Drosophila melanogaster: one gene and its partners. The gene in region 2 interacts genetically with the main gene of each other region. Each region holds a gene or a part of one and is shown on either strand. Other genes may lie near its edges.

Region 1 (5,074 bases), on a different chromosome or scaffold from region 2:
AAATTACTGGGAAATTCGCTGACCCAATCAAAGTATTTTTAGAATGATTTACGCGAGCAAATCAGTGAGCAGTGTGGACAATGGACTCGCCATAAACAAATAAGCAATGAAAAATATTTAAATATTGAAATAAAAAGTAACAGAAATAAATATAAATAATAAAAAATGAAATAATAAGGATAATTGCTTTCAACAATTATCTATAAATAATTTGAAACATTTTTTAGAATTGGCGACCAGCCATGCAAATGATTTGCTCCCCTTTTTCTGACTGATTTCACCATTTCCATAAACACAGGCGCCTCATATGCTAATTTTCCTTTGCGCAATCAAAAATTATACATCATTTTATACTACGCGCCTATCCATCCGGCTGTTTTCCCCCATTTCTCTCGTTTGTCATTAATCACGTTTAATATGCAATTCTATGCTGTAAAGAGGAAAATAATTGCAACAATAAAATAAATATAAACAACAGCGGGAGTGGCAACCCAAATCCGTTGTAATCTTCATATCCGGAGTGTCGTTGTCTGTGAATTCTGCAATTGGACTCTCCAGTTACACATTTTCCCCTCGGGGATCACTTTTTGCATCATCATTATGGATGGATGGAGCCTCTTTATAGAGAGTTTCTGTATAATGTGGAGTTCGTTTTTTAGTGGGGGGTTGGTTTGGTATATAGGAAGTGCGGGTTAAACGGGAGTCTGCCACTCAGTCACTTCCTTGTTTGACATTTTAATTGCAATGTTGATGGATTTCACTGTTGACACTTTCCTTTTTCACCCCATTAATGAATAATGAACGTTTAGTCTGCAAATTTACTAGCTAGCCAGGCCGCAAAGTTAAATTTGCCTTTCGTGCATACATACAGATATAGTAAATTAACAATAAGATTCCTAAAAGAACATTTTACTTAACAATTATGAAATACTTTCGGTTAAATGCCCTTTTAGCTTTCCCACTGATTTCTTTTGTGTTTCGGACCGTAGTAAATTGTCTGTAAAAAGTCGTGGCCAAGTTAAGTATCATAACTAGAACGTCTTCCGTTCAACACCTCATTAGGCGAACTTTTCAACAGAGGCCGAAAACGACTTTTAATTGTGCCCACTGGACATACACAACCCCTGAAATTTTTTTCTGGCGGGAAGCACAATTGTCCAGAGGGTGAACATGATAAATGCCTTAAATAATGTTCTTTTGCCACCAGAAAATATCCAAGACATGACCAAACTCTAGTGGAGCAATTAAGTGCCAGACCAACTGAAAATGTCATTTAACATTTGTCAGGTAAAAATAAAAGTAAAGCACTCAAATAAAAAACAGCAACAAGTTGCAGACTAATTAAATAATTGAAACATTTTACGTGGGAGTCGCAAAGACACAATGACAAAGAACTAAATGTGTGTGCAAACGAAAAGCCAAACAAATAAAGACATAAGAAAAACGATTCTACAATGTCGCAATTCGACTATGCCTGCTATACGGTGCCCGAGTGTTCCACGGATGATGATGATGATAATGACGATGAGCTGGGCAGTAATGTGACCCTGGAGAACAAGGATCATTCGGATTGCACCCTGGAATCGGATGCTACGACCACCACATCTTCACTGGAGCGTCATATGTATAGGAATCGGTATCGCTCTAATAGAAGTTTCGGACCACAGAGGGTTTCCATGCCCATTCTCAGATCCAGTCGATCCAGGGAGATGACGCCCCAGTTGGGCATGTATCATGAGGGACCGAATCGAGATCCCCAATGGGGTTACTTTGTACCCCTGTCGCCCAACTTCTTCTTTAGTCCACCGATGCAGAGGAGGCGTTATAGGTAGATTTACATTGTGTTTAGTACTTAAAACATATTTAGTTCTATTATTATCAAGTAAAACATACATTGAAAATTCTAATAAATTAAATTTAAATTTCCTTTCAGGGAAAAGGAAAACGATCGCAATCGTCGCGCTGTTAGTTATGGCGGTGACGCCACCTCCTCCCCCCATTCGGCCACCATACCCCGCGCCGCCCCCCGTCGGGTGGCCTTGATGAAGGATCCACCGCCACCGCCGCCACCCAAGCCGCAATTGGGTTCCAAAGCGGATTCTGTATCGCATTTGGCCAGCAAATATCCCCAATCCGAGTACAATCTCATACAGAAAATCGACTCGAACAGCACACTCACTGCTCCGGCGCAATATCAACCGCAGAATTTCTACGCTAATACTGGCACCATATCCTCTACGAATGGCTACGGATCGCTGTTATGTCACGCCAGTTCGACGACCAGTCCGCTGGCGGTCCGGAAGAGGGACAAACTGCTTCATCGCTTCAGCGATGCCGCCACCTTGGGCCGGAAGCTCAAGAAGAAGAAGAACACGAATCGCACCTGCAGATCCATGACGGAGGCCATTGAGATGCTGGCCGATCCCGTCATCGAAGATGAATTCTTTGTAAGTACAATGATTTATGCAAAGAAAATATACGTATTTCCATGGAATTAGAAACATAAAAATCTTTTGGAGCCTCTTAAAACAAAATAGAGTTTCTCAAACCATTTTTTGTCATAACATCATAGAACTTGATTGATATGTATTAAATATTTGGGTGTGGTTTTAAAATAGCTCGAGGTTCATCGTTCAAACCTTTTCATTCTTGGTTTTTTCCCCCAAACATCTGCCCCATTTCACAATTTACGCTTTTAAGGGGTGTATTTGTTTGGCTTAAGCCCCTCATTTCGTCTCATTTCACTTGGGCTCTGCTCAGCTCAGTCCAAGCTTTATCGCAATCACTTTTGTTCTTGTATTCTTCTCCGGCTGGAAACGCTATCCATTGGAAAATGTTCTCGTGTCCGATAGGCTCTTCAAATTCATTGAATTCATTTCAGTTTAGTTCGTATTTGAGCCTCGTCGCGATTGAAACGAAAAGAAATCCACACCAAAAATAAACGATTTTCGTAGGCGGAAGTGTTAGAAAGACAAACCTCAAACAGATAAGGTGGAAATAATAGGAAGTTGACAGATTGAAACTGAGAAGGGCCATTGAATTAAGTGGAGTGACAGAAGTGATAAAAGAAAGGGAAAATTTGAATATATTAAACAAGAAAAATGTGCACTTAGACAGAGGGATTTATATTTGGCCACATCTTTTCCACTTAGTTTTTAACTATAAATTTGGATATTATATTTATGATCCCTGTAAGATAACCTTGAAAGTATTTTCCGACGGCTGAACTCAATTCGCAATCATTAAGTGAAAAAGGGGCGTCAATAATACTATCAAAAGTTCAATAGACCGCACATTCATTGACCCAATCGGGGTACCTTTGAGTTTTTGCAATGTTTTGAGCTTGTAAATTGGTATTGGGGTCGATCAGGGCTAAGCCACAATTATTTGCCAAATCAGTCTTTAATTAACGAACTCAGAGTTGACAGATTAGCATGGCTCTCTTTCTCTCTATTCTCCATTCTGTCTCATCCATATGACAGCTCGGTTGACAGTTCAGGAAGACGAATGTGTCTAACAAAACAAGTGACTCGCAAACTGTGTCAATACTTTGGGTTCGAAAAACAATTTACCTTGCGCAAAGACGACGGCTCGAAAGGTGAACCCCGGCTAATTGGATTGGCAGTGCGTGCCTTCCAGCAAACAACAGAAAAGCAGAAAAAGTTGTTGCAATAAAATCAAACAATTGCAGTGGAAAATCGAACGTGCAGTGTGCCGAACGTGTTGGTCGCGTAAAACCCTTAAAAAATCGGTTATTTTCAATATAGTTTATAGGGTTTATCTCTTTTTTATTGGCCTCTCTCAGGCGTTTTTAAAAACACAAATGTTGCCTGCTTTTGTGCGCTGTTAAACAAGAACGCCATGAAAAATAATTCAACCATATCTATAGCATACTTTTACGCGGTCGAAAATTACATTTGAAAAAGAACAAAAAGTCTCTAAATTAACTCAACACCCTTGAAACACTAATCTGGTTTTATTTTTTTTTTTTTTATATATTTCCAAAGGAAAAAAATATAATTTTGCGTGATCTAATTTTACATGTAATCATAAAACATTCTATCGTCAGTCTAAAGACAGTGTAGATTTTATGTAAAATTAGCCAAGTGAACCTTAAAATTTTTGTTGTTTTTGTTGATTTATTTTATGGTTTTAGTTTGCAACAAATTGAATTTTTTAAAGAACAAAACATAAGTTTCTCACAAAAAAAAAATAATACTTTGGTTTCGACCGTGACAGGACTCGAACCTGCAATCTTCGGATCCGAAGTCCGACGCCTTATCCATTAGGCCACACGGTCGCTTGTTCCAAGCACGCTTAAACTCGAAAACATTTGATACGTGTGCAAGCAACCTACAGCACAAGGGTGGATTTTCTGTAGAGCAAACATTCTGTTATCGCGGGGTGCAAATACAAACGAACAAAAACGAAAATTAAATACAACAAAAATATGAAGCCCAGCACGCGACGTCGCAGTTTCAAAACGAAACCCCCCAAATCGAATGTATATAACCCACTCGTTCGCTATCGCCCGACAGCCTATGTCCGAAATGGAATTATTGGCGGCGCCGAGGGTCCCGGCTCGAGTGGAGTGTACCAAATCGCGGATAGGGTCTATACCACCAGCAAGATGTTTCTACGCGATGGCTATATGTACCCGCGTCAACCGGGTCAGACCATGGATCCCCGTTTCCCCCTCGAGTTGCACGAATTCCCTCAGCAATTCGGCGCCACTGGCCTGCAGTTGGTTAGTGCACCCAAGGTTCATATAGCCGGCGAATATCTGGCCAGTGAACAACAGCAGCAGCAGCAACAACAGCAGCAGCAGCATCAACAGGTGCAGGAGCAACAACAATTGGGCAGAAGAAAGGCTGCGGCAGCCGCCGAAATAAATTTGGCAAATCAGGTTTACTGGCTGGGCAAGCAAAAGACCAGATCCCGATCGCGTAGCAATAGTGTGGGCAATCGGAGCATAACCAGCTGCATGGGCGGCGGTGGAGGGGGTGGCGAAAAGGAAAGGGAACGCGGCGGGGATCGAGATCGCCCCTATATACGCAACGTTGACGATCTTCTC
Region 2 (5,074 bases):
CCCCGCAGACGCGAAATGCCCAACTGGGCGAACGAAGGTGGTAACGGTGGCGGAGGCGATGGCCTCCACAATGAGAGCAGCAAACAGCAAGATACAAAAACAAAAAAGAAGCCGCAACGTGTGCCGCATGCCAAATCGGAGGCGTGCGAAACTATGCTGCCATAATACCGTAGAAAAATTAGCAGTCCATACAGGGTATCTTGGGTTAAATGAATGCGCTATAATACGAGTAACCAATAATTCTAAAGTTTAAGGTATTTTGATTATGGCTAGAATAATTCTTTGACCAATTCTAAGTAAAGAGGCTTTTAAGTTTTTGCCTATCTGGCAATATGTTGTTGAAACAATATTTTTTTACGAGCATAGAGATAAGTACATTTTTTTAATCCTCGAAGGTCGTTCATTAGTGTATCCTCTATATCTCTGAGCCAGCCTCGACTCCGATTGTCATTCGAAATTTGTTTAATTTGTTGTACATTTTAATTGCCTGAATTGTTCGAGGCAATGAGCAACCAGAGTTTTCAATGTTCGCACACGCATATCAACTGCGTGCAGGAATTTCAGTTTACGAAATTAATATTTTGAGTTTGTATGATCATTGCTGTTGCTGTTGTCAGCTTCAATGCAAAAGCCCATTGCCTGAGGTCAAGTGTGATGTGGAGATCAAGAGATACGCACGGAGATGGAGATGTAGACGTCAGTGCTCAATCGAAAAAACCACAAGCGAACTAAAACTACGATCCGGGGAATACATGTGTACTTGCCGAGATATAGATACGTCTGTCCGCAGATACAGTTACCCATATGTATATGATTGCCTGGTGGCAAAATCGTTTAACGATTAGCGTTTAACCGCTTAAAGCTTATCGACTGATACCCAAAGCGTGTGTTTTCACCCGTTTGTTTATCTTTCGCTGATTTACATTCAAGATGTCTGATTGCCAAGCGGTTTCTGATTTCAGCAATTGTTCCAGGGATCCCGATGGACGGTTGAAATTCCAAACCCGGGAATAACAATAGAACTCTGTGGAGCTTCCATTTTCACTTAATTGCATCGCCGTCGATCGTTCTGACAACCGTTTAAGTCGCCTATTAGCCATAGAACCTATCAAATTGACTAGCTCACTTGGAAATTGGATCCCGAGATAAGTGAAACCCTGTGCAAAGATACTTTAGGGCCGCATAGAAAATGTCAAAAAAAATTAATTAAATGTGACCGGTATTTAAAAAGTCGGTCAGGCCTACTATATAACTACATATGTATGCACATGTGAATGTACATATATATTTGACACAATAGTACTCTAAACAGCTTCCCCATTTCAATATACCCTCCGTAGAGTGTCAAGTTTGACTGACATTTGATATTCCATGGCCCGAAATGGGTTAATTGCACAATTCGCTGAATTTTTGACTCTTAGCGGGACGCAAAAAAAAAAATTTAAAGAAAAAAGCTGGCGACAACAACGAAATGTTAAACAATCGTTGGACGTTGGCGATTTTATGGTTGACAGATAAGAAATTTGCTGGCATTTGTTTTGTTTGCCGTTTTCAGGGAGTCATTAAAATTCCGGGGAAATGGCCCCATATGGGTACACCACTCTATATCTGCACGTGTATCTGTCCTTTTCTTACCTTAAGCCGCTGCAGAAGTCGGCATTGTTAATGCTGTATCTGTATCTGCTTCTGTTTCGGTTTCGCGTAATCCACAATAACTGGCTTTTTAATTTTGGTTTGGTAGTTTTGTTTAACTAAAGCTCACTCTTCGTGCACTCTTAAAACCGATCTATTGATTTGGCTATCGATAAGTGCCTAACAGTAAAATTTTCGTTTCGTTGTTGTTACTTTCTGACCTCTTCCACTTCCACGACGCGCGCTGCGACTGCGCAGTCAACAGCGATCGGGTCGCATTCCAGCGTCGCACATACTTTAATCAAAACTCACTAACACCAGAACAATTGCACACGCGGGCGAGCGCAACTGAGAGTATCTGTGTGCGTGGAGTCGTTGTTGTTGCGCGAAAGAATGCCGTTTGCTGGGTTGTTGTTTTTGCTGTTGCTGACTGCTTTATTTGTTGTAGTTGTAGTTTCCAGTGGGCAGTTGTTGTTGCGGCTGAATTTTTTCTTTTTGACCAGCACCAACTTTTCGGAGTTGACTTCAGCTTTTTTACACTACTAGTCGTAGATATTTTCGTGGTTTTAAGGCGCGTTTTCCCAAAATCAGAACTAGTTGCACCAACACCAACAAAAATCACTTTTGTAATTGAGGCGAGTGCGAAAACGAAGCGCGCTGTTTTTGTTTCAGTGAAAACCGAACTTCACTTTAAGCAACTGAATCTGTGTAGCTCTGTGTGTGTCTGGGCGATCTGGTGTGCGTGCGGTGTGCATTTAAGATCTGAAGAACAACTTTTCCGAATGTTAGGTCTCGAATAAATTCATTAAACCGAATTTATATTTCCCAGTGGAAAGCACATGCTTTGCTGTCCCGACGATCTGTTCGGTTACCGTTGACGTTTAGCGATATACTGATTTTGCCCCTGCTCAGCGAAACCGAACACAACGAAGATCGAGTCGAGATTTCGTTAAAACTTAACGAAGCCGCGTTTAACGAAAAGAGAGCCCAAGAGAGAATTCGAATTCGAAAGAAGCGCACACAGCGATACACAAACCCGATGGCAACAACAACAACGGCTACGAAAATGTAAATAGCAATAAGCAATAAAAGAAAAACAAACTTCAAAGGAGAATCCCAGTAGCCAACTACATAGTGTGTGCGTCCGTGTGAGTAGTGGAATTCCAATGGCTTATCTCGCGAGACGACGATTCCGATTCTCAAGGGCTTAAAGGATACCCTGTTAGGATAGCAGATTTAAGTAAAATGCATATGAGAATTTTAACAAAGGTACCTTTCTTTCTAATTCTGCTTTTTATCACATGCTATCTTGTAGTTTACATTGTATATTACAATTACATTATGAGTTCTATCTTTTGGCATTCACTTTTTGCCAAACTATGGCGGAAGCCTATTGGATTCAAATCTAGCTTTCAGTATCCCTGCGCTAGCCATCGATGCGACTATCTTATAAATAAACTCTCTGGGCAAAACTCCAGATACAGATGCACTGGACGAGGGAGAATCGGAATCGGAACTTGAGGGTCTGAAGACTCTGCCTCTATCGGCGTCCTCTGCTGCTACGATATCGTCACTTGGGCGCATTCCTCAGCATAATGTGAGCTTGATTTGCTGGATTCTTTTTGCTCCCTCTTCCCTCTTTTTCTCTTCTTTAGATTTCCTCCTTTTCATTTCCCCTCCTCCACCTCTTCAACCATCATTTGCTTCAAATATGCGGCATACACACGCCCCACGAAAGGGCGGGGATCAGTGTAAGCCAAGTAAGGTTTTAACCAGTTCGTCCAAGGGGCTACTTAGAAAAATCCACAGAAAACAAAATTTAGATTATATGGAAAAAAGTCTAAATGATATAAAAATCGTAACTAAACACAACCAAAAGACTATATAATGATGATCGAAGTTGTGCCCCGGTGCCAAACCCTCGCTACGCCCCTGAAGACCCGGCCAAAAGTCGAAGACTCAGAATTGGAGAGTCAAGGGGTCGGGGTCGGGTCGTCTTGCCATGGACATAACTTGTTGACTGAAGTCAGGGAAGTGGTGGGGCAGGGGTAGAAATTGGGCGAGACATTCCGGTGAGGCGGGGTTTCGATGGGAACAACTCGCACAGCCTTTGATTTCTTTGAGTGTACTTTGCGTTGTGGTGTCTGCTATACCCTGTTTGGGATACAACGGGAAGAATTAAAAAAGGTTTGTAGGTTTCAAAAAAAGTACATGCCACTCCTGGGACAAATTTTGAAAATTTCTCTATTGACAAGCCTATGGTGTAAGGGAATTTGAGTAAAGGTAGTTTGTTACCCACCGGATCAGTCTGACTACAAGAGATCTAGAGTACTTCCATCTTCGACTTGAAGCCCAAGCTTTTCATTCTTGTTTTTTTTTTTTGTTTTGTGGCTGTTCGTTATTCTTTCGTCTTTGGTCGATCGCTTGGTCGCTGGTTCTCTAAGACCGGTTGTTGTTGTTGCTGTAAGCAGCCTTTTGGGAACTACGTTCTTGGTCAATATCGTGTAGATATACATACGTTCTATATCTGTGCTTGTGTGTGTGCGAGGTTTGGAGCCTGGTCGAGGCCGAAGTTTTGAGCGAGGAGAGTGAAAAAATAAAAAAAGAACGGCCAAAAATGTTTTATGCAATTCCTTGAAGTCGATTTCAGTCTCCAGTCTCCCGGTCCAGAGAATCGCTTTTGCGGAATTGGCGCGCATTTCTGGCCTTTTTTTTTGGCAAAGTGATCTTTCAGCCAAGAGCAGCTGCCATTGATCCTCTTTCTATTCAAAATTCCTCGTGCTCTTTGCGGTCTTGGGCAGAGCCAAAGTCGCTGGCGATGATGATATGGCGAGGAGGCCAGGAATTTATTGAATAAGTTGGCATATGACGCGGGTACCAACCCACTGATGTGGATGTGGTGTGTGTTGCTGTTTCTGGCGTGTTTTCGCTACGCTTCACTGCCAGGCGATGGAACGTCGATATCGCCGATTGTCGCATACCCCTATCCCTTCTGTTAAAAGCCCTCTCCCTGTCATAGTCTGGATGAGTAAAATCTTATTGGCATAGCAATGGACCAGGCTTATTTGTTGGCCATAAAAATTTATAAATTACTGAGCAATCTTGAAAATGTTCTACCCTCTTCAAGCACTTTTAAAGCGAATGCAAGCCCCACTCAACACCCAACATTGAACACCTTATCACTCGCGATCGAGAGTATCGTAAGCTTCGATGAGTTGACGATTAGGTTTCCGCTTCGATTCGCTGTTCGATTCGATTCGCTTTGTTTTCAATTCTTTTTATTATGGTCAAATATTTCTGCTGGCCACGATAATGTTAATGGGCCGCCCCCCTTTCTCCACTTCGTGCTCAGACCATCATCGAAGAATGTATCCCAGGTATTTTTATTACATTTGTTACACTAACTCACTTCCTATTCGAATAGCTGGTATTTCGCTGTAGC
Region 3 (5,074 bases), 9.9 Mb from region 2:
CAATTACATTTGAATAAAAAATAAATAAATCCTGTGGAAAACACACCTTTACTTTCATCTGAGCTATTTCCTTCGATTGAGCTAGTGCTATTCTAACCTCTATTTGAAGTTTTGATTGATTCGCAAAGAAAAACAAGTTTTCATCCGACGGATAATCTGTTGTACCAATGGGATTGCCATTCATATGATTCATGCTTTTATCTTGGTTGATTTGGTTCTTTTGAAAGATTTTATCGTTTTCAAATTCCTTATTGCGTTTCGTTTCACAGAATTCAGATTGCTTGCGAAGTACTCCACTTGATAGTTTTGGACACGTCTCAGAGTCGGAGCTATAACTTTCATTATCGGATCCGGTTAGAAATTCCTCCTTCTTAATGTCTAAATATAAAATATAATATTTAAGAAAATATAGTAATGAAAGAATATCTTTGGTCTTACCATTATTTAAAGAATCTTTATCTCCGATTGCCAATCTCTTGCGTATCTCATCTCGATTGAATCGCCGCTGTAATTGGAATATATATTTAATAAATGATATTATTATTCCGATTATATTGTACCTACCTTTTTCTCTATCTGTTTAACCTTTTTATAATGGTTTTGCAATGTTTCTACATCCATATCGTTTGCAATCTTGTACGCATCAAATTGTTCTATAAAAATTTAAATATTAATATACTCAAGAATCTATAACGATTAATTCATATTTGAAATTACCTAAAACCATGGTGGAGCATGGATCTTTGGAGTACTTGATGGGATCTTCCAAGTACTGAGACCAGCGCGATTGATTTGAGTACTTCCGACTAGCCACCTTGTTATTGTCCTCGTCCAGATTCTGCTGGCTTCCACTTCCACCGATTTCCAAGCTGCTCATGTTGGGTATTTCAGCCTGATTTAGGTTCGGACTATCGTTTTTGTTCTTTTCCGGAACGGACGAGTATTGGTCAGCATCACAAATGATATATTTTCGTTGGCTATACGTTTTGTAGTCGAACGTGTCCGGTGGCAATTGACGTTCGTCATGAGACGGCTTTGGATGCTTCGTTTTCACGATCTGATGTCCGTACGGTGTGTTCTTCTTTTTATTTTTTCGAGTACTATTCCCGGACAATCGCGTCGAGGATGTTTGCTTAAGAGCCTCCGTTCCATTTGATAGTTCTGCATCGCAAATCTGCAAGGTACAATTATGCTTTTACGTGCCTGATCTCTTTTATTTTAACTAACTACATACCTTATCTAAATTTGATCCCTTCAACTCATCCGCTTCCTTCTTGTTTTTATATCCAGTGAGAAGTAGCTCGAATTCACGTTCCACTTCTCCGCCAAAATCACCAACAATATCGATAGGACTTTGGCCTTGCAACTGCCCTTCGTATTTCGAATTAATTGTACATGACCAGGATGGAAACTCAGGATTGGTCGTATAATTCTGGCTTAGATTGTAGATAAGGTCAGGTTTTTGCAAAGCTCGCTTGGAGTTTTCCGACGTTGCACTATAGTTTTCATTTACAATATCCGGAATGTTTTCCGATCGGTTCACGCTTTCCTCTTCTGATATATATGTGTTTCCATTGTCGCAGTTACTTAAAATCGAATCTTGGCCATTCTTAAAGGTTTCCGAGCCCGATTCCTTGGCCATCTTACTTGGGAACGTTGGGTCATCTTCTCTATCGCTGTCGGTTAGATCGCTTTCATTGCACTCCATGTCGGAGTACTCTATGTAGTCATCGGAAAGGGTATGCGCGAACTTTTGAAATCCTGGGTAGTTGGGGTTGGTGATGCCCTTTGTTATATAGATATCCATTCTTGGCATGGGCATTGGAATAAGTTGTCTAGAAGAAATAAAAAAGTTTAGATGACTTAAATATTGATTACAACTACAGTGTATTAATAACATAACATAATTAAAACATAGTAAAAGCAATAAAATGGTTTTTTTCTTATTTCCTTTTACTTGCTAAAGGACACCACTATCTCCACTCCACTATTTTCTTTAGTTCAACTCATTATCGTATTTATAAATTACTTTAAGAGTCAATTTGGTATTTAACTTCATATGTGTTTAGATGTTACATTGTCCTTAACAACACATGAATGAACTGACATTTTGTATATTCTTAAAATCGAGAAACAAGAATCAAGCCGAAAAAAGTTGGTGTAGGTGCAAATTTTTGTAACAGAAATATCTGAAGATAGTCAAAGTTACTTGCAATTATAATTTCTTGTATTTGCTTTATTTAAACGATTGTTTCGACTGTTAACAACTAAAATGTATTCCGTTTGTTTAAAATGTTAATTATTGAATCAATGAAGACTTACAAGGACTTCGGCCTTCCTGCATTCAGATGTAAAAATTACTCCCACACATATAAAGCAAATTACACGTTTGACGCATGCGCAAATCTTGGTATATAGTGTTGTTAACAATACTAAATATTATTACAAATAATTTAATTTACTAAGGAACAAAAAATTTATTAATTATTTATTATTTTTTTATATGCAAAAACTGAGAAAACAACTTAAAAATCGAAACTGAAAATGTCTCTGAGTTTTACCATGGCACAAAATTTTCTTTTAATGTAAACTTATATTATTATTATTTAAGGAATAGGCTTAAAACTTTTTGCTATGTTTTTTTCAAAGTTCTTAAAAAATCCCAATCCCAACAATTTATGAATACCTCTGATTAAATTTTTTGCACTCAGTATTTTTCTCATTTTGAGATATGGTAACACTTAAGCACAATGTGATTTAAAAAACCATAACATTGTATATAAAAGTAATAGAAATCCAAACACAACTAGAAAAATGAAATAACCGTAGACCTAACTAATAAGTGAATAATAATGATATTATTCAAAGGAATTCGGCGGGTGCAATCCCAGCTAAGAACGCCGGTTGATTTGGTGCTCATTCGGGTGAGGTTCTTGGCCATTACGCAACAAACCACTATAACAAACTATAACTTTCCAATAATTTTCAGTACTCCACTGCAGCAACGATAGCTTCCCAAGATGACAAAGGTGTCACTACAGCGTCGCCAGTATCCCAGGCGGGAAAGGTCCAGCATTTACCCGATAGTCAAATTACCTGGATGCCTAGTCCGTACACCATGCCCGGAAAAACTCTTAGCCAGTACAAGAAGCTATCCAAGTTCCGGCTGACATGTAAGCGAGATGGTTAAACATTGGCCAAGCATCGACCATAGTTGTCTTTCGTTGCAGCGCTGGTGGTCATTACAACGATGGGCGGCTATGCCATGGCGCCAGCTGCTTTCGATCCCACAACGTTTGCGATGTGCACCCTGGGCACAGGACTCGTTTCGGCTGCGGCGAATGCCATTAATCAGTATCACGAAGTTCCTTTCGATTCGCAGATGTCGAGGACAAAGAACCGGGTGCTCGTCACGGGGCAAATGACACCACTGCATGCAGTTACCTTCGCCGCGGTGTCGGCAACTGCCGGCTTAAGTATGCTGTATTTCGGAGTAAATGGATTGACGGCGGCGCTGGGAGCGGGTAACCTGTTCCTCTACACCACGATATACACACCGATGAAGCGTATCAGCATAGTCAATACCTGGGTGGGATCGATAGTGGGCGCCATTCCTCCGCTGATGGGATGGGCTGGTTGTGCAGCCACCCTGGACGCCGGCGCCATGATCCTAGCCGGAGTGCTGTACGCGTGGCAGTTCCCGCACTTCAACGCTCTGTCGTGGAACCTCCGGCCGGATTATTCACGTGCCGGCTACCGAATGATGGCCGTTACCAATCCGGGTCTTTGTCGCCGCACTGCGCTGCGATATTCGGTGGCTATTGTCGGACTTTCAGCCATGGCACCCGTACTGGACGTCACGAACTACTGGTTTGCCTTGGAAACACTACCTCTGAACGCGTACTTCGCCTACCTTGGTAAATATACTCATTAACCATGGAATCCTATATGTTATGTCTAATACGTTCTGTTTGCTTGCAGCGTACAAGTTTCATGAAAAGTCAGATAGTGGGAGCTCGCGGAAGCTGTTCCGATTTTCACTGATACACCTGCCCGCCCTGATGCTGCTATTTCTGACCAATAAGAAGGAATGGTATTTCAGCAAACCCGCCGGTGAGGAGAACAAAAAGGAGTCCACGTACAGTGCGATAAAGCATTCTGCTAGCAGTCTTGGTAATGTCCTGCCCGTCGCCGTAGCCGAAGGACCCAGATAGAAATATTAACATTAATTTGATAAAATGTTAAGTATCGTGTGAAATTTAAATATACTTAGTGTTCTGCAACTTGTAAAAACAGTCATTTAATATTAAGGAAACACGTACCCCTGTGCGGCAAATATATGTTGCGCCTAATAAATGACACGACATCCTTGAAAAATATGCGGTGTAACCAATCCGGCGCTGAATACAAATAAATTTAAAATATACAATTTGGCATGGAATCTTAAGCCGTACAGTAATTTAAATTGCAAGATTCTAAGTATGACCTTATTATATTGTTCTTTGAGCACTTGTTTCAAAAAAAGCACGGAAACGGTAAAAATTGTTAGTGGAAGTAATCCCGTTTCCCGTTGTTTCATCGGTTGTTGAAAATAAGGAATTTAAATCTATTTTATTTTGATAAATTGTAGCAATCGAATCGAACGTATTATTTAAGGCATTGTAAGGCATCTCTTCTTCAGATTCCAGAGTTTATTCCTTTGGAGGGTTTTTTTTCCAAGATTAAAAAACGACATGCGCATTTCCTAGGGATAAGTATTCTAGCTATTTTAGGAACTATATTCCGCAATTGAAATAATTTTAATAATAATAGTAAAATCCGTCAGATAAATAGTCAAAAATTTCTAGCTAAAAATGAGTATAGCTGTACGTTATCGATAACAGAAATACCAAAAAGTTGCCCCTATTTCAGTATATTTCACTGGTTCCTCTGCTGTATGCGTTGGTCTTACAAATGAAAAGAACAATATTTTGTATTGTGTTGCAATAGCCTTGATGTTTTATCACAGAAGCACATTAGCATAATCACTGATTTATCGCGATGCCGAGATGAATCATGCAGCTAACGCGACTAT

The links.
Region 1: of ex (region 2) and pyd, changing one enhances a phenotype caused by changing the other (phenotypic enhancement), as found in Drosophila melanogaster (one study listed by BioGRID).
Region 3: of ex (region 2) and Schip1, changing one suppresses a phenotype caused by changing the other (phenotypic suppression), as found in Drosophila melanogaster (one study listed by BioGRID).

Annotation. Positions count from the first base shown.
Region 1 is NT_033777.3:8,862,159-8,867,232, reverse strand, and holds the start of pyd (polychaetoid), read left to right. Parts: upstream 1-2,884; 5' UTR 2,885-2,991; intron 2,992-3,699; exon of another isoform or gene 3,700-3,731; intron 3,732-4,227; exon of another isoform or gene 4,228-4,239; 5' UTR 4,240-4,450; coding exon 4,451-5,074.
Region 2 is NT_033779.5:428,679-433,752, reverse strand, and holds the start of ex (expanded), read right to left. Parts: upstream 2,527-5,074; 5' UTR 1,636-2,526; intron 1-1,635. UniProt on the Drosophila melanogaster protein: Activates the Hippo/SWH (Sav/Wts/Hpo) signaling pathway, a signaling pathway that plays a pivotal role in organ size control and tumor suppression by restricting proliferation and promoting apoptosis.
Region 3 is NT_033779.5:10,328,758-10,333,831, forward strand, and holds the start of Schip1 (schwannomin interacting protein 1), read right to left. Parts: upstream 2,360-5,074; 5' UTR 2,323-2,359; intron 1,836-2,322; 5' UTR 1,823-1,835; coding exon 1,235-1,822; intron 1,175-1,234; coding exon 718-1,174; intron 654-717; coding exon 565-653; intron 506-564; coding exon 439-505; intron 379-438; coding exon 47-378; intron 1-46. Other genes in the region: Cox10 (cytochrome c oxidase assembly factor 10), read left to right, coding at 2,853-2,924, 2,990-3,173, 3,231-3,917, 3,982-4,214. UniProt on the Drosophila melanogaster protein: Regulator of the Hippo/SWH (Sav/Wts/Hpo) signaling pathway, a signaling pathway that plays a pivotal role in organ size control and tumor suppression by restricting proliferation and promoting apoptosis.